Linked DNA regions of Pelodiscus sinensis. The protein of the gene in region 2 purifies or fractionates together with the protein of the main gene of each other region. This does not show direct contact. Links are inferred from orthologs where the notes say so. Each region holds a gene or a part of one and is shown on either strand. Other genes may lie near its edges.

Region 1 (7,615 bases), on a different chromosome or scaffold from region 2:
GAGTAGCCCACAACCACTTCAGAAATTTGTGAAGCGGCCCCACTTCAAAAATGGGTGTTATGGGGAATTTTGCTATTGACTTTAACAGGGTCAGAATTTCGCCACTAGCATTGATTGAAAGAGCTCTCCCCACCTGAAACATTGCAGCTTCCAGACAATAGTACTTCCCATGTTCAAATTCTTGGCATTCCAAAAGCTGCCCAGTAGGTAGCTGGGAGGGTTAGATTTGCCTTGGCAAATGTCAATAGCTGTTGATTTCACCGAACCCAAGGAGGACAAAATATTTCCATCAAGAATATTTGAAATGGACAGCTAGGCAAAGTGAGAAAAATGCTTCTGGGGAGAATTTTACCTTAATCATATTTACCATGCAACCAGCCGTTCTGCGGCACCTGAGAGACTAACAAATCTATTGGATCATGAGCTTCCGTGGGAAAAACCCACTTCCTCAGATACTTAACAGTGTAGTCAATTAACTGATAAGCAAAAACTGATAGGTTAATGCTATAGTATGCACATTTCCCTTCCCTCCCTCTCCTCTCCCCCTCCCCCTGCTGCCCTGCCCCTGACAGGGCTGGATTATCCAATAGGCAGACTAAGCATGTGTTTAGGGCACCAGCAAAGCAGGAGCACCAAAAAAAAAAAAAAGAGAGAGAGAGAGAGATTGTTACGGTATAGTATTGTTTTTATTTTGAATTACATATGGGGAGGCACCATAATCTTTTCAGTGCTTAGGGCCTCTAAAGGGCTTAATCCGGCCCTGCCTGGCTAGTAAACTTTCTTAGCAGGCTGGCCAGCAGCCTGGCTCAGTCCTGGCTTGCAATGGGTCCGGGATCTACCCCTGCTGCAGCTCTGCATTTAAAGTGTATTAGGAGCCGGGCAGGCAGGCAGCCTGGCTCAGTTCAGGCTTGTGCTGAGTCCAGGAGCTCAAACTGCCCTAGACAGGGGCTGCTGCCACTCCGCACTGCTGCCTTTTTGTCCATGGCTGCAGCACGGGGTGACAGGCAGCCGGTCTGTGAGGGGAGCTGGTTTTTAAGCTGTCTCCCCTCTTGAGCCAGCTCCCACTTGGCACCCTGCACTGCTGCCTCGGATACAGAGGCAGCAGCACGGAGTGAAGCCGGAGCCCACTGGCTGCTGGCCCCGCCCCCGGGGACTATAGAATAGTCGAGTAACAGATAAGAATTCATGAGGTTACTCAACTATCCAATTAACCAATATTTAACATCCCTTATTCTTGCTCTGTGTATCTTTAGTGTGTGGTGTTGACAACTTGTGTTTGTCTCAGCATTTGCTGTCATTCAGTCATTGTCTGTCCCTTATCCCCATTAATCCCTGAAACTGTGAAAATTGAAATATCTCAAGATGGGGGGATGCTTAAAACCCATAATTTGGCACAACTCTGAAGATTTGCATTGATAAAAATGACACACTGATATTATTGGTTGGCATACACGTTGAATCCTGCCAAGCCTACCAATAAAATATTTATCACTTGGGTTCTTTTTAAATTCCTTGTCATTTTCTCTCTATAAATCCAAGGGCTACAGAAGAAGGAAGTGCAGGCATCTCCCACATGTTACGAGGCTGTAACTCTCATCACGAGAGTGACAGGAGAGCTTGTAAATGGCCAGTGCAAGGCTGGAACGGTTTCTTCCTGTTCCGTTTGGGAGGCTTTGTTGAAGGTGAATGAGGAAACAGATCACAGCTTAATGTCTAATAGTAATAGAGATGTAGCGGTGTTAGTCTGGTCTTGCTGAAACAAAAGACAAAAAAGTGCTGCATAGTCCTGTCTTTTGTTTCAGCTTAATGTCTGTGCCAGGAAAGATAATGGAGCAGGCAATTAAGGAATTAATCTGTAAACACCTGGAAGATAATAAGGTGATAGGTAACAGCATGGATTTGTAAAGAACAAATCCCGTCAAACCAATCTGATAGCTTTCTTTGATAGGATATCAAGTCTTGTGGAAAAGGGGGAAGCAGTGGACGTGGTATACCCAGACTCTAGTACAGGGAGTCCCCGAGTTACGTGGATCCGACTTATGTCGGATCCCTACATACGAACGGGGCTTTTCTCACCCTGGAGGACGCGGGCGGCGGGACCGCCCAGACGCACCGCGGTCCCACTGCCCGTGTCCTCCGCGGCGAGAAAAGCTGCTCCGCGTCTCCCTGGTCTGCCGGCTTTGCTCCGCGTCTCCCCCAGCAGATTAGGGAGACGCGGAGTGGCTTTTCTCACCTGGTCCGCGGCGAGAAAAGCCTGGTCTGCTGGGAGGGGGGTGCACTAGCTGCGCCCCCCCAGCAGACCAGGGAGACGCGGGCGGCGGGACCGCCGAGACGCGCCGCGGTCCTGCCGCCTGCGTCCTCTGCAGCTTTGATCCGCGTCTCCCTGGTCTGCTGGGGGGGGGGGGCGCAGCTAGTGCGCCCCCCCCAGCAGACTAGGCTTTTCTCGCCGATGCCTGGGGTAGAGCAGCTGGGGTGCTGCCGGGTTGGTCCCGCAGCGCCGCTCCTCGGCGCTACTGGACCAACCCGGCAGCACTCCAGCTGCTCTGCCCCAGGGGTCCCCAAGTCAGCCGCTGCTGAAACTGACCAGCGGCTGACTACAGGAAGCCCAAGGCAGAGCAGCTCTGCCTCGGGCTTCCTGTAGCCAGCCGCTGGTCAGTTTCAACAGCGGCTGAATCTGGACGCCAGTTCCGACTTACATACAAATTCAACTTAAGAACAAACCTATAGTCCCTATATTCTGCGTAACCTGGGGACTGCCTGTAAAGCGTTTCATACGGTTTCACATGACCTTCTTATCAAAATGGTTCACAGTCATGCTGGAAATGCATAGCAGGTGGGGTTCCAAAGGGGTCAGTTTTGGGATAAATTCTGTTCAATATCTTCATCAGTAGTTTAGATACTGGTATAGACAGTATGCTTATAAAGCTTGCAAATGCTACCAAGTTGGGTGTGGTTGCAGGTGCTTTGGAGAATAGGGTCATAATTCAAAATAATCTGGAGAAATGGTCTGAGGTAAATAGCATGAAGTTCAATAAGGACAATTGCAAAGTGCTCCACTTAGGAAGGAGTTCTGCAGAAAGGGAACTTGGGGTCATAGTGGGCCACTAGCTAAATGTGAGTCAACTGTGTGACACTGTTGCAAGAAAAAGCTAACATGATTCTGGGATGCATTAACAGGAGTGTTATGAGAAAGACACGAAAGTCGTTCTTCTGCTCAACTCTGTGCTGATTAGGCCTCAGTTGGAGTATTGTATCCAGTTCTGGGCACCACATTTCAGGAAAGATGTGGAGAAATTGGAGAAGGTCCAGAGAAGAACAACAAAAAAGGATTAATGGTCTAGAAAACGTGGTCTAGGAGGGACGACTGAAAGAACTGGGATTATTTAGTTTGGAAAGGAGAAGACTGAGAGGGGACATGATAGCAACTTTCAGGTACCTAAAAGGATGTTTCAAAGGGGAGGGAGAAAAATTATTCTTCTTAACCTCTGAGGATAGAACAAGAAGCAATGGGCTTAAATTGCAGCAAGGGAGGTTTAGGTTGGACATTAGGAAAAAGTTACTGTCACATGATTAAGTGTTAGCATAAATTGCCTAGGGAGGTTGTGGAATCTCCATCATTGGAGATATTTAAGAACAGGTTGGCCAGACATGTATCAGGGATGATCTAGATGGTGCTTGGTTGGTCCTGCCATGAGTGCAGGGGCCTGGACGTGATCTCTAGAGGTCCCTTCCAGTTCTAGGATTCGGTGGGTGGAAGGGGAGGTATGACCTGCAGTAGTGAGAGGAGGAGGCTGGGAGCCAGGATACTGGTTCTAACTCGACTCCAGAAGGGAAGTGTTGCCTACTGGGCAGAGCAAAGTTAGGGCATGTCTAATTGAAATGGCTCATTTGAACATTCTGAGACTATGGTTAGTTTTCAGACTGGAGTCAGAAAATTGGGGAAGGCTTCTAATTTTAGGCAAGTGATGAGGGCTCCCTTGCAAAGTGAGCGCTGGCGCATAGTGGGTATGAGTCTGTAACCCCCCCCCTCCCCCCGCGCTAGGGTGGCTTGGCTGTTTAGCTCCCACTTTAAACGCTTGCAGGCCCTAGTTTGATCCCTGGTGCCAAGCTGGTGGCCATTCCATGCACACACACACATACTTCCTATCAGCGGTTGTCCAGTTCCTGGGACTTTCTTCCCTGGACCACTGGGTCCCTGTTCATGGGAATCTGGTCCCATTCTAGAGGAGATCTGGAATACAGGGGAATCCCCAGCCTAGTCAGATCCAGCTAGTGTCTCATCTCCAACAGCGACCTATAGTGGCACATGTGGGGAGGGGGGTGTTCTATCCACTCACAATTGGTCCCATCCTGATTTCGAAGAGAACTTGGGCCAGGCTTGGGAGCCGTTGGCTGTTCCAACTCTGGTCCGTAGTCTGAGCCCTTGATGTCTCTCTCCAGCCTCCTAAATCCCTCTTCTCCACCCCTCCCCCACCCCGGGCATTTTTGTGCGTGCGCCTGTTCCTCCCCCTCTCAGCAGCTTTGCTCTCAAGCCTGTTTACATTCCCCAGCCGCACACGCAGTGCCATGCGGGGTAGGACGTGCTTGTCTGAGCTCCCTTCCGAGTCCTGTTCTGAACTAGAATGACTGTCGCTTCTACTAAAGGTACAGGCAGGAGGCACGCAGGGCCGGGCAGGGCCGCGCTGTTCTTAGTTACTTGTTTTGATCAGTTTTAGAAGGAGGCCACGTGGGCTTGGGGGTAGGGTCCTCGGTGGGGAGTTGTGATGTAGCGGGAACTGTATTCACTCTTGCAGTTGCTGAAAGTCACTGTATTCATGCTGTTTGCTTTGTTGGGTCATGTGTGATTCTACTGTCCTATGCTGTTCTGGAGTGATGGTGGGGGGATGTGTGTGTGCGTGTGTGCCTCAGTTTCCCTGGGCAGTTCAACATTGCCTGGAATGGGGGGGGGGGGGGAGCATGACTCACTGAAGAAGTGAATTTGGTCTCACACCTGAGAGCCAGGTGATAGGAGATAACACCTTTGCTGGGGAATCGGAACAAAGGAGGGGGCGGGGCTGCCTAGAAGGCTGAGACCAGTTGCTGGGTGTGTGAGTTTAGTTTTCTGCTGCTGTAGGGAGGAGGGAGTGTAGCTGGCTTGGGGGGCTCTGGGCCCCCTCGTCCCTAAGATGGATTGTACTGAAAGCTCCTGGTTCCTGTAACAAGTCTGCTATGCCGTGTCCCTGTCAACAAATACACCTTCTGTTCTACTTGTTGGCTGAGTCTCACATCTGACTGCGGATGGGGGTGCAGGGCTCGGTAACTACCCCACACTCTGTGACAGGAGTGAAGCTGCATTCCTGGCTCTAGGAGAGGTGTGGGGCCTGCCTGTTAGAGCAGGTGACTTGACGCCAGGACTCTTGTGTTCTGTTTGTGGCAGTGACAGAGAAGTATATGACTGGAAGCCAGGACTCTTGGATTCCCTGCTCTGCCACTGATTTTCCTAGATGACCTTTAGCAAGTCATTTCCTCTCCCTTTGCCTTAATCTCCCCATATGTAGCCCCCCTCCACCTCACTGTCCTCCAACCTAGCCAAAACAATATTTGATCCTCCCCTGGGGGGAGAAGGTGAGAGAGAGAAAAAACCATGGCAGCTAGCTGCTAGGTTGCTTAATTCACTCCTAGAAGGAGCTGACATGCAATTGGGCAGAGGAAGGTACTTGGATTGCAGTCTTTTTGGGGCAGGGGCTGTCATTTCATACAGGGGGTGTCTGTGTTTACAATGGGGTCTCAGGCATGACTGGGGTTCCTAGGTGCTCCAAAAATTAAAATAGTAAGAGAAGGCACAATAACTTCTGTAGAGTCTAATAGAAGAGAGCTGTCTTTCCCCACCCCCACCCCCAAAGAGGATTTGAGGGGAGCTAATTCAGTGCTCTGAGCTCCTCATTTGGTAGTACAATTTCTTTTCGGTCTCTCTCCAGCAGAGCCACCCACCACAATGAATTCCACCGCTTGAGCTAAGAGAGTCGCTCTGCTCCCTGGCAGCAGTAGTAAACCATTATCCTCCATCACAGCAGCCTCCGGATGGGGACACAGCACACATGTAGTCATGCCAGCCCTGCCGGGGGAAGCAAGCCTTGCTTTGCTTTGCAGTCACTGGCCTGATTCTGAGATGGGCACTGGCTTCCTGGAAGGGTTGTCTAGGGAAAGGGAGACTGGCCTGTCCACCCAAGCTGGAATCCTGTTGTCTTGTATACTTCCGCTAGGTTTCCATGGGCTACCGCCCCCTGCCCTCAGCTCCTCGCTGGCTCAGGCCAGCATGCTGAGTGGTGACATAGGCTTTCCCCCAGGGCTCCTAGAGCAGTGTTTCTCCCAGTGGGCTGTGGGCCGGCTTTGGGAAAGCCGCTAGTGGGCCTGCGCTGCTTTGTTTACCTAAATGCTCCGTAGCTCATGGCTCCGGTTCGATGTTTCCAGCCAAAGGGGAGTCCTAGTTCCCTGCTCTAACCACTAAACAATCCACACATCCCAGAGCTGAGGGTAGACCCCAGGAGTCCTGTTTCCAGATCCATCCCCTGTTACACTCCCCTATATTGACAAGAGGGCTAAATTTACCAGGAATCCTGACTCCCAGCCCTCCATTTTGGCCTAAGTCACACTCCCCTTCCAGAGTTGGGACTGGATTCCAGTCTTCCCTCCCCCAAGCTTGAATTGCTAGACGCCTCTTCCTGGGAATGGATGCCAGGTCTCCCTGTCCCACCCCGCCTTTAACCACTAGCTCATACTCCCCTCCCGTTGTTGGCCCATCCCTACATATGGACAATTGGTAACTGGCCTAGGACAATTCAATCAAGAGCTGTCAGCAGCTAACGGGCCGAAGGGGCGGAAAGTTCTTATCAGCTGACAGCGTCTGGGAACTCGAAAACAGGAAAGCGTCTGAGTTCATCCCGTTGGACCGGGGCGGTAGCTAGGAAGTTTGTACAGCAGGGGAGAAACAGGAGCTGGCAGGCTGGCCGCGAGCGCGGAAGGCATCCAAGCAGAGACGGGAACAGGTCTTTCCAACAGCAGGTGCAGAGGGTGAGTCTGGGGCAGCTAGAATGAGGTGGGGCTGATCCCCCAGAGAGGTGAATGCACAGTAGGGCCTGGGGCGGGATGGGCCTGCTTTGGCACTTTGGTTCTTTGATTGGGGATGAGCAGGGCTGGTAGGCATGGCGCTGAAGCTGGGCAGCATGATCTAGTGGAGAGGGAATTGGGCCGAGTCTCAGCAAGGCTGGGTTCTATTCCTGGCGCTGCCACTGACCTGCTGCTTGACCTTGGGCAAGTCACTTCCCCTCTCTGCGCCACAGTTTCCATCTTGCCCTGTCTGTTTTAGATTGGCCCCAATTGGAACAGCTTACAATATTTCCTCTAATCTTTTCCATGTGCAGAATATTTTTTTATTTGCACCAAGGCATGTGCAAATGTGCACCACCAATAGAAACAAAAAGCTTAACTGTGCGCACTCTGCTAATTGGCTGGGCAGCATTTGAATCTCTCCCGAGCGGCTGCACAAGTGCCCAGCTGCCTGGGATTTCAATTCTTGGCTCTGCCACAGGCTCTTTGTGCAACCCTGGGCAAATCACTTAGTTTATGTCTAGTGAGT
Region 2 (8,003 bases):
TCTGCAGCTCTTCTTATTCTGTGAGGTTGGCCTCCCAAAAGTACACTACGGGAAAATTATAAACAGTAGGTTTTCCTTCCACTGTGCAAAAGCAGTGCACACAGAATATTGCAAATTATTGAACGTTCAGTAGTTAGTTCTGCTTCCCCAACCACATATTTAAAATACTCCTCACCATCTACCTTTCTAAAAATGTTTGCAAGTGACAGACTGCTCTTCTCTAGGAATATAACATGCAAGCAGTTGCGCCACTTTACCTGTCCATGTATGTCTCCACAAACTGTAACTGGCGTAGATACTGGCTGTACATTTGACTCTTCAAGCAGCAGGTCACACACATAATCACATAAGCGCTACAGAAAAAGAAGTTTACACTGATCAGGCTGAGGTTTTTGTGCATTGTAATATCAAGAAATAACAGATTTATAAATTATTTGCTTTAGAATGTATTCAAGTCTCTAGACACCATGATCATGATCAAATGAATTGGGATCAATGTTCCCTCTAATTTTTTCTATCTATGTGTGGATTTTTTTCATTAATGTGCAGAATAAAATTTGTATGGGCTCCCAGGCATGTGCAAATTTAACATCCCTTAGTGCACAGCACATGTAATTGACATGTGTAACCACTGAAATGTTCAGTGGTTACACACAGGGCAGCAGCCAGCGCGCCAGGAGGCAGCATAGGGTGGTAGGTGGCTCTCTGGGAGTTGACTTAAGCCGCTCCCTGCGCATACCTGTTCCCCCCACCACCCTATGCTGCTGTCTCTGATAGAGGCAGCAGTGCAGGGCAGCAAGCAGCTCCCCAGAATCCAGACTGGGAGCTATGTGCAGTCATTTGGATTACCTGTTAAAACACATACACTCTTACAATCTTAATGTGCACCACTGATAGAAACAAAACCTAGGCATGAGCGCTCTGCTAGTCAGCTGGGCAACATATTAATCACCCCTGAGCAGATGCACATGCACATCATACAGGGAACACTGCTTGGGATGATAATAAATATGTAAGAAAATCCGTTACTAGCTAAACATTTTTTTAAAATTAAGTGTGTCTCAATGAATAGAGCAACAGTTCACAGAATGAGTGCATCTTAGGTTATTTAAATGCTATATTAAATTGCAGTTTTGCTCTAAAATTTGAAAGTCAGATTGCCACTTTATTTCATGTTTATTTTATCAATGGTTTCTGTATTAGATATGCTCAGCTAACAAGGAAAAAAGTTAATTTCCATCTGCAAAACTGCAAAACCTAAAACTCATCCTGAGATCAGAGACTCAAACTGGATTCTTTCCTGCTCACTCACCGATCAATAACTAAAGTCTCACTTACGCCTGTGCAACCCCATGAACAGTGCCATGTTCTTCACAGGTGGTTCACAGGTATAGCTCACTAAAACTTAGAAAACAATTCCACTGATGATGTACAAAAAAGAAAAGAATCCCCCTCACACATTCAGGCATGCTGACTCCACTAACTCGTAGAGGGAAAGAGTACCGCATACTTATTTTTGCAGGACTCTCAATATACAATGATTAATGGATCAGTTCACTTTTAATGGTCTCCCGCAGTGTTTATCTACTACTTATGTTAAACAAGCTGTTCCCACCTACTTGTTAACTGTGACACTGTGGGCTTGTAGGCATTACCACTGGTGTTGGTATAATTTGTGTCGCTGGGGGTATGAACAACATGTGATATAAGTTACACTGTAAGATGTACTTAGGTTTAAGTACCCATTCTCCAGATACTTAATGATGCTCTGTGTCACACACCCTTCCCTTTTTCTTTTTTTCTCCCCCCCTCCTATTTATTTCAAGTTTTCATATCCCCTACTCATAACTCCAGTCATCTGAAGAAGTGGGCTGTGCCCACGAAAGCTCATGATCCCATCAACATGTTGTGTTAGCCTATAAAGTGCTACCAGACCATTTGTTGTTTTTTTCTGTAACAGACTAACTCAGCTACCCCCTGAAGCTCTTGTAAGCACCAGTGTGGTTTTATTATGCCACCTCTCCCATTAACATCACAGTATCCTCACCAGAGGTACTACAGTTGCATAGCTGCAATAGTGCAGCTATCCCATTGTAGAGATTTTAGTAGCCCTCTGAGTATTTTTCCCAGATCTGAAGAAAAAAAAAAGCATCTGCAGAACAAAAACTACTGTCTTTTACCATAATAACAGCCCTACTGGGTCAAACCAAAGGTTCATTTAGCCCACTATCACATCTTCTGACTACAGCCAGTGGCCAGGTGAATTCAGTGGGAACAGACAGTAACATAATCATCTGAAAAAGTGGGTTGTGCCCACAAAAGCTCATGATACCATCTACAGGTTTTGTTAGTCTATAAAGTGCTGCAAGACTATTTGTTAAGTTTACTCATAATCATTGAACAATCCATCTCCTGTTGTTCATTCCCAGCTTCTGGCAAACAGAGGCTAAGGGCACCATTCCTGACTACCCTGGCTAACAGCCATTGATGGACCTGTCCTCCTAAACTTTGAACCATTATCACCTTCGCCTGCACAACACCCTCTGGCAAGGAGTTCCACAGGTTGTGTATAAAAATACTCCCTTTTGTCTTAAACCTGCTGCCTATCAGTTCCTGTGGTGGCCGCTGGTTCTTGCCTGGGAGTAAGTGACGCTTCCCTGGGGGCTCCGCTGTCAGTCTGGCGGTGCAGACTCGGGGTCCCGCAGCGCGTTCCCAAGCTGAAGAGCCCCCGTCCGCTCGGGCTCCCCGCCGGCCCCGCTTCCTTGCACCCTGGGGAGCTGCCGGTCTCTCTCCAGGGCGGGGCCAGCGCGTTGCTGCCCGGGGCAGGCCGGCCGGGGAGGCGCCTCCCGCAGCCCGCGGGGCCCCGCCCGCGCTCACCTTGAGGTCGTTCTCGGGCAGGTACTTGCAGAGCCGCGCGATCTCAACGTACTTATCCAGGTCCAGAGGCGCCATCTTAGCCGAGCAGCCGGGGCCGGAAACGGGAGCCGGCGACTTCCGGGGGCGGCCGAGCCCCACTACCGCGGCGACGGGCCGGAAACGAGGGGCACTTCCGGGGCGGGAGGCCGGAAGTCGGTCAGCCTGAGCGACCCGGGGGCCAGAAGCGGAAGCGCCCCGCCCCCACAGCCTTCCAGCGGGCAGGTGCCTTCGCCTCCGCGCCCCGCGCGCTCTGCCTCAGCCCCTGGCGCGCGGCGCAAAGCATGCCGGGAGCCGCGGGGCATGCCGGGCAGCGCGCTGGCCGCGCGGGGGGCGGGGCGGCGCTGTGAAGCGGCTCCGGGTTCCCCGCCCCGCGGCGGTGAGCGGGGGGGCCGGGCCGGGGGGGCCCAACGGGCCGGGGCCGATCCAGGCGGCCGCTCCTCCGCCTGCGCAGCGCCCGCCGGGGGGGGGCGATTCCCCTGCCCGCACTGGGGGGGGATCGGGGGGGGGCGGATTCCCCTGCCCGCACTGGGGGGGGGATCGGGGGGGGCGGATTCCCCTGCCCGCACTGGGGGGGGATCGGGGGGGGCGGATTCCCCTGCCCGCACTGGGGGGAGGATCGGGGGGGGGCAGATTCCCCTGCCCGCACTGGGGGGGGGATGGGGGGGGGCAGATTCCCCTGCCCGCACTGGGGGGAGGATCGGGGGGGGGGCAGATTCCCCTGCCCGCACTGGGGGGGGGATGGGGGGGGGCAGATTCCCCTGCCCGCACTGGGGGGAGGATCGGGGGGGGGCAGATTCCCCTGCCCGCACTGGGGGGGGGATGGGGGGGGGCAGATTCCCCTGCCCGCACTGGGGGGGGGATGGGGGGGGGGCAGATTCCCCTGCCCGCACTGGGGGGAGGATCGGGGGGGGGGCAGATTCCCCTGCCCGCACTGGGGGGGGGATGGGGGGGGCAGATTCCCCTGCCCGCACTGGGGGGGGATCGGGGGGGGGCAGATTCCCCTGCCCGCACTGGGGGGGGGGATGGGGGGGGCAGATTCCCCTGCCCGCACTGGGGGGGGATCGGGTGGGGCAGATTCCCCTGCCCGCACTGGGGGGAGGATCGGGGGGGGGGCAGATTCCCCTGCCCGCACTGGGGGGGGGATGGGGGGGGCAGATTCCCCTGCCCGCACTGGGGGGGGGATGGGGGGGGCAGATTCCCCTGCCCGCACTGGGGGGGGGGATCGGGGGGGGACAGATTCCCCTGCCCGCACTGGGGGGGATGGGGGCGCAGATTCCCCTGCCCGCACTGGGGGGGGGATCGGGGGGGGCAGATTCCCCTGCCCGCACTGGGGGGGGATCGGGGGGGGCAGATTCCCCTGCCCGCACTGGGGGGGATCGGGGGGCAGATTCCCCTGCCCGCACTGGGGGGGGATCGGGGGGGGCAGATTCCCCTGCCCGCACTGGGGGGGGATCGGGGGGGGCAGATTCCCCTGCCCGCACTGGGGGGGGATGGGGGGGCAGATTCCCCTGCCCGCACTGGGGGGGGGATCGGGGGGGGCAGATTCCCCTGCCCGCACTGGGGGGGGGATCGGGGGGGGCAGATTCCCCTGCCCGCACTGGGAGGGGATCGGGGGGGGGCAGATTCCCCTGCCCGCACTGGGAGGGGATCGGGGGGGGCAGATTCCCCTGCCCGCACTGGGGGGGGATCGGGGGGGCAGATTCCCCTGCCCGCACTGGGGGGGGATCGGGGGGGGCAGATTCCCCTGCCCGCACTGGGGGGGGCAGATTCCCCTGCCCGCACTGGGGGGGGGGATCGGGGGGGGCAGATTCCCCTGCCCGCACTGGGGGGGGGGATCGGGGGGGGCAGATTCCCCTGCCCGCACTGGGGGGGGGGATCGGGGGGGGCAGATTCCCCTGCCCGCACTGGGGGGGGGGATGGGGGGGGACAGATTCCCCTGCCCGCACTGGGGGGGGATCGGGGGGGGACAGATTCCCCTGCCCGCACTGGGGGGGGATGGGGGGGCAGATTCCCCTGCCCGCACTGGGAGGGGATCGGGGGGGCAGATTCCCCTGCCCGCACTGGGGGGGGATCGGGGGGGGCAGATTCCCCTGCCCGCACTGGAGGGGGGATCGGGGGGGGCAGATTCCCCTGCCCGCACTGGGGGGGGGGATGGGGGGGGACAGATTCCCCTGCCCGCACTGGGGGGGGATCGGGGGGGGGCAGATTCCCCTGCCCGCACTGGGGGGGGATCGGGGGGGGCAGATTCCCCTGCCCGCACTGGGGGGAGATGGGGGGGCAGATTCCCCTGCCCGCACTGGGGGGAGATGGGGGGGCAGATTCCCCTGCCCGCACTGGGGGGAGATGGGGGGGGCAGATTCCCCTGCCCGCACTGGGGGGGGATCGGGGGGGGCAGATTCCCCTGCCCGCACTGGGGGGGGATCGGGGGGGACAGATTCCCCTGCCCGCACTGGGGGGGGATGGGGGGGCAGATTCCCCTGCCTGCACTGGGAGGGGATCGGGGGGGCAGATTCCCCTGCCCGCACTGGGGGGAGATGGGGGGGACAGATTCCCCTGCCCGCACTGGGGGGGGGATCGGGGGGGGACAGATTCCCCTGCCCGCACTGGGGGGGGGGATCGGGGGGGGACAGATTCCCCTGCCCGCACTGGGGGGGATGGGGGCGCAGATTCCCCTGCCCGCACTGGGGGGGGATCGGGGGGGCAGATTCCCCTGCCCGCACTGGGGGGGGATCGGGGGGGGCAGATTCCCCTGCCCGCACGGGGGGGGGATGGGGGGGGACAGATTCCCCTGCCCGCACTGGGGGGGGGGATGGGGGGGGACAGATTCCCCTGCCCGCACTGGGGGGGGATCGGGGGGGGCAGATTCCCCTGCCCGCACTGGGAGGGGATCGGGGGGGGCAGATTCCCCTGCCCGCACTGGGGGGAGATGGGGGGGGGAGATTCCCCTGCCCGCACTGGGGGGGGATCGGGGGGGGACAGATTCCCCTGCCCGCACTGGGGGGGGATGGGGGGGCAGATTCCCCTGCCTGCACTGGGAGGGGATCGGGGGGGGGCAGATTCCCCTGCCCGCACTGGGGGGAGATGGGGGGGCAGATTCCCCTGCCCGCACTGGGGGGAGATGGGGGGGGCAGATTCCCCTGCCCGCACTGGGGGGGGAATCGGGGGGGCAGATTCCCCTGCCCGCACTGGGGGGAGATGGGGGGGACAGATTCCCCTGCCCGCACTGGGGGGGGGGATCGGGGGGGGACAGATTCCCCTGCCCGCACTGGGGGGGGATGGGGGCGCAGATTCCCCTGCCCGCACTGGGGGGGGATGGGGGCGCAGATTCCCCTGCCCGCACTGGCGGGGGGATCGGGGGGGCAGATTCCCCTGCCCGCACTGGGGGGGGGATCGGGGGGGCAGATTCCCCTGCCCGCACTGGCGGGGGGATCGGGGGGGCAGATTCCCCTGCCCGCACTGGGGGGGGGATCGGGGGGGGCAGATTCCCCTGCCCGCACTGGGGGGGAATCGGGGGGGGCAGATTCCCCTGCCCGCACTGGGGGGGAATCGGGGGGGGCAGATTCCCCTGCCCGCCCTGGGGGGGGAATCGGGGGGGGCGATTCCCCTGCCCGCACTGGGGGGGGATCGGGGGGGCAGATTCCCCTGCCCGCACTGGCGGGGGGATCGGGGGGGCCGATTCCCCTGCCCGCACTGGGGGGGGGATCGGGGGGGGCAGATTCCCCTGCCCGCACTGGCGGGGGGATCGGGGGGGCAGATTCCCCTGCCCGCACTGGGGGGGGGATCGGGGGGGGACAGATTCCCCTGCCCGCACTGGGGGGGGATGGGGGGGCAGATTCCCCTGCCTGCACTGGGAGGGGATCGGGGGGGGGCAGATTCCCCTGCCCGCACTGGGGGGAGATGGGGGGGCAGATTCCCCTGCCCGCACTGGGGGGAGATGGGGGGGGCAGATTGCCCTGCCCGCACTGGGGGGGGAATCGGGGGGGCAGATTCCCCTGCCCGCACTGGGGGGAGATGGGGGGGACAGATTCCCCTGCCCGCACTGGGGGGGGGGGATCGGGGGGGGACAGATTCCCCTGCCCGCACTGGGGGGGGATGGGGGCGCAGATTCCCCTGCCCGCACTGGGGGGGGATGGGGGCGCAGATTCCCCTGCCCGCACTGGGGGGGGATCGGGGGGGCAGATTCCCCTGCCCGCACTGGCGGGGGGATCGGGGGGGCAGATTCCCCTGCCCGCACTGGGGGGGGGGATCGGGGGGGCAGATTCCCCTGCCCGCACTGGCGGGGGGATCGGGGGGGCAGATTCCCCTGCCCGCACTGGGGGGGGGATCGGGGGGGGCAGATTCCCCTGCCCGCACTGGGGGGGAATCGGGGGGGGCAGATTCCCCTGCCCGCCCTGGGGGGGGGAATCGGGGGGGGCGATTCCCCTGCCCGCACTGGGGGGGGATCGGGGGGGCAGATTCCCCTGCCCGCACTGGCGGGGGGATCGGGGGGGCCGATTCCCCTGCCCGCACTGGGGGGGGGATCGGGGGGGGCAGATTCCCCTGCCCGCACTGGCGGGGGGATCGGGGGGGCAGATTCCCCTGCCCGCACTGGGGGGGGGATCGGGGGGGGCGATTCCCCTGCCCGCACTGGGGGGGGAATCGGGGGGGGCGATTCCCCTGCCCGCACTGGGGGGGGGAAATTGGGGGGGCGATTCCCCTGCCCGCACGGGGGGGGGGGAAATCGGGGGGGCGATTCCCCTGCCCGCAAGGGGGGGGGATCGGGGGGGGGGAGATTTCCTGCAGGCCCCAGAGGGTTTTAATGTGACTCTGGCTTTGCTTCCTTTGCTCAAGACCCATGAGGCCGAAGGCCTTGCCAATTCTGGAGCCTGGAGATGTTCCCCAAAGGGGCACGTGGTCAGTACATCTGAGCATTTTCCCATTTCTCCTCAGCCTCTCCCATTACTGTCGTTTGTTATTGCGTTATGACCCCAGTTATCTCACTGGAGTCTGTGGGTCAGATTCCCCCATTAAACCCTGATAACCCATCCTCCTCCTAGCATTTTTGATGAGCCTATGGGTTCAGATCAGAGTGTGGGGACTGTATTCTA

Evidence for each region. Proteins that work in one complex are often made in the same cells at the same time.
Region 1: the proteins of PPP6C (region 2) and ARHGEF2 purify together in Homo sapiens (affinity purification with mass spectrometry; 4 studies listed by BioGRID and IntAct, with this or other methods). This does not show direct contact. The link is inferred for Pelodiscus sinensis from reciprocal best matches to the Homo sapiens genes PPP6C and ARHGEF2.

Annotation. Positions count from the first base shown.
Region 1 is NC_134734.1:14,732,485-14,740,099, forward strand, and holds the start of ARHGEF2 (rho guanine nucleotide exchange factor 2), read left to right. Parts: upstream 1-4,607; 5' UTR 4,608-4,622; coding exon 4,623-4,644; intron 4,645-6,935; exon of another isoform or gene 6,936-7,050; intron 7,051-7,615. UniProt on the Homo sapiens protein: Activates Rho-GTPases by promoting the exchange of GDP for GTP.
Region 2 is NC_134732.1:25,004,977-25,012,979, forward strand, and holds the start of PPP6C (serine/threonine-protein phosphatase 6 catalytic subunit), read right to left. Parts: upstream 3,013-8,003; 5' UTR 2,953-3,012; coding exon 2,878-2,952; intron 2,840-2,877; exon of another isoform or gene 2,637-2,839; intron 354-2,636; coding exon 258-353; intron 1-257. Other genes in the region: RABEPK (rab9 effector protein with kelch motifs), read left to right, coding at 7,751-7,809.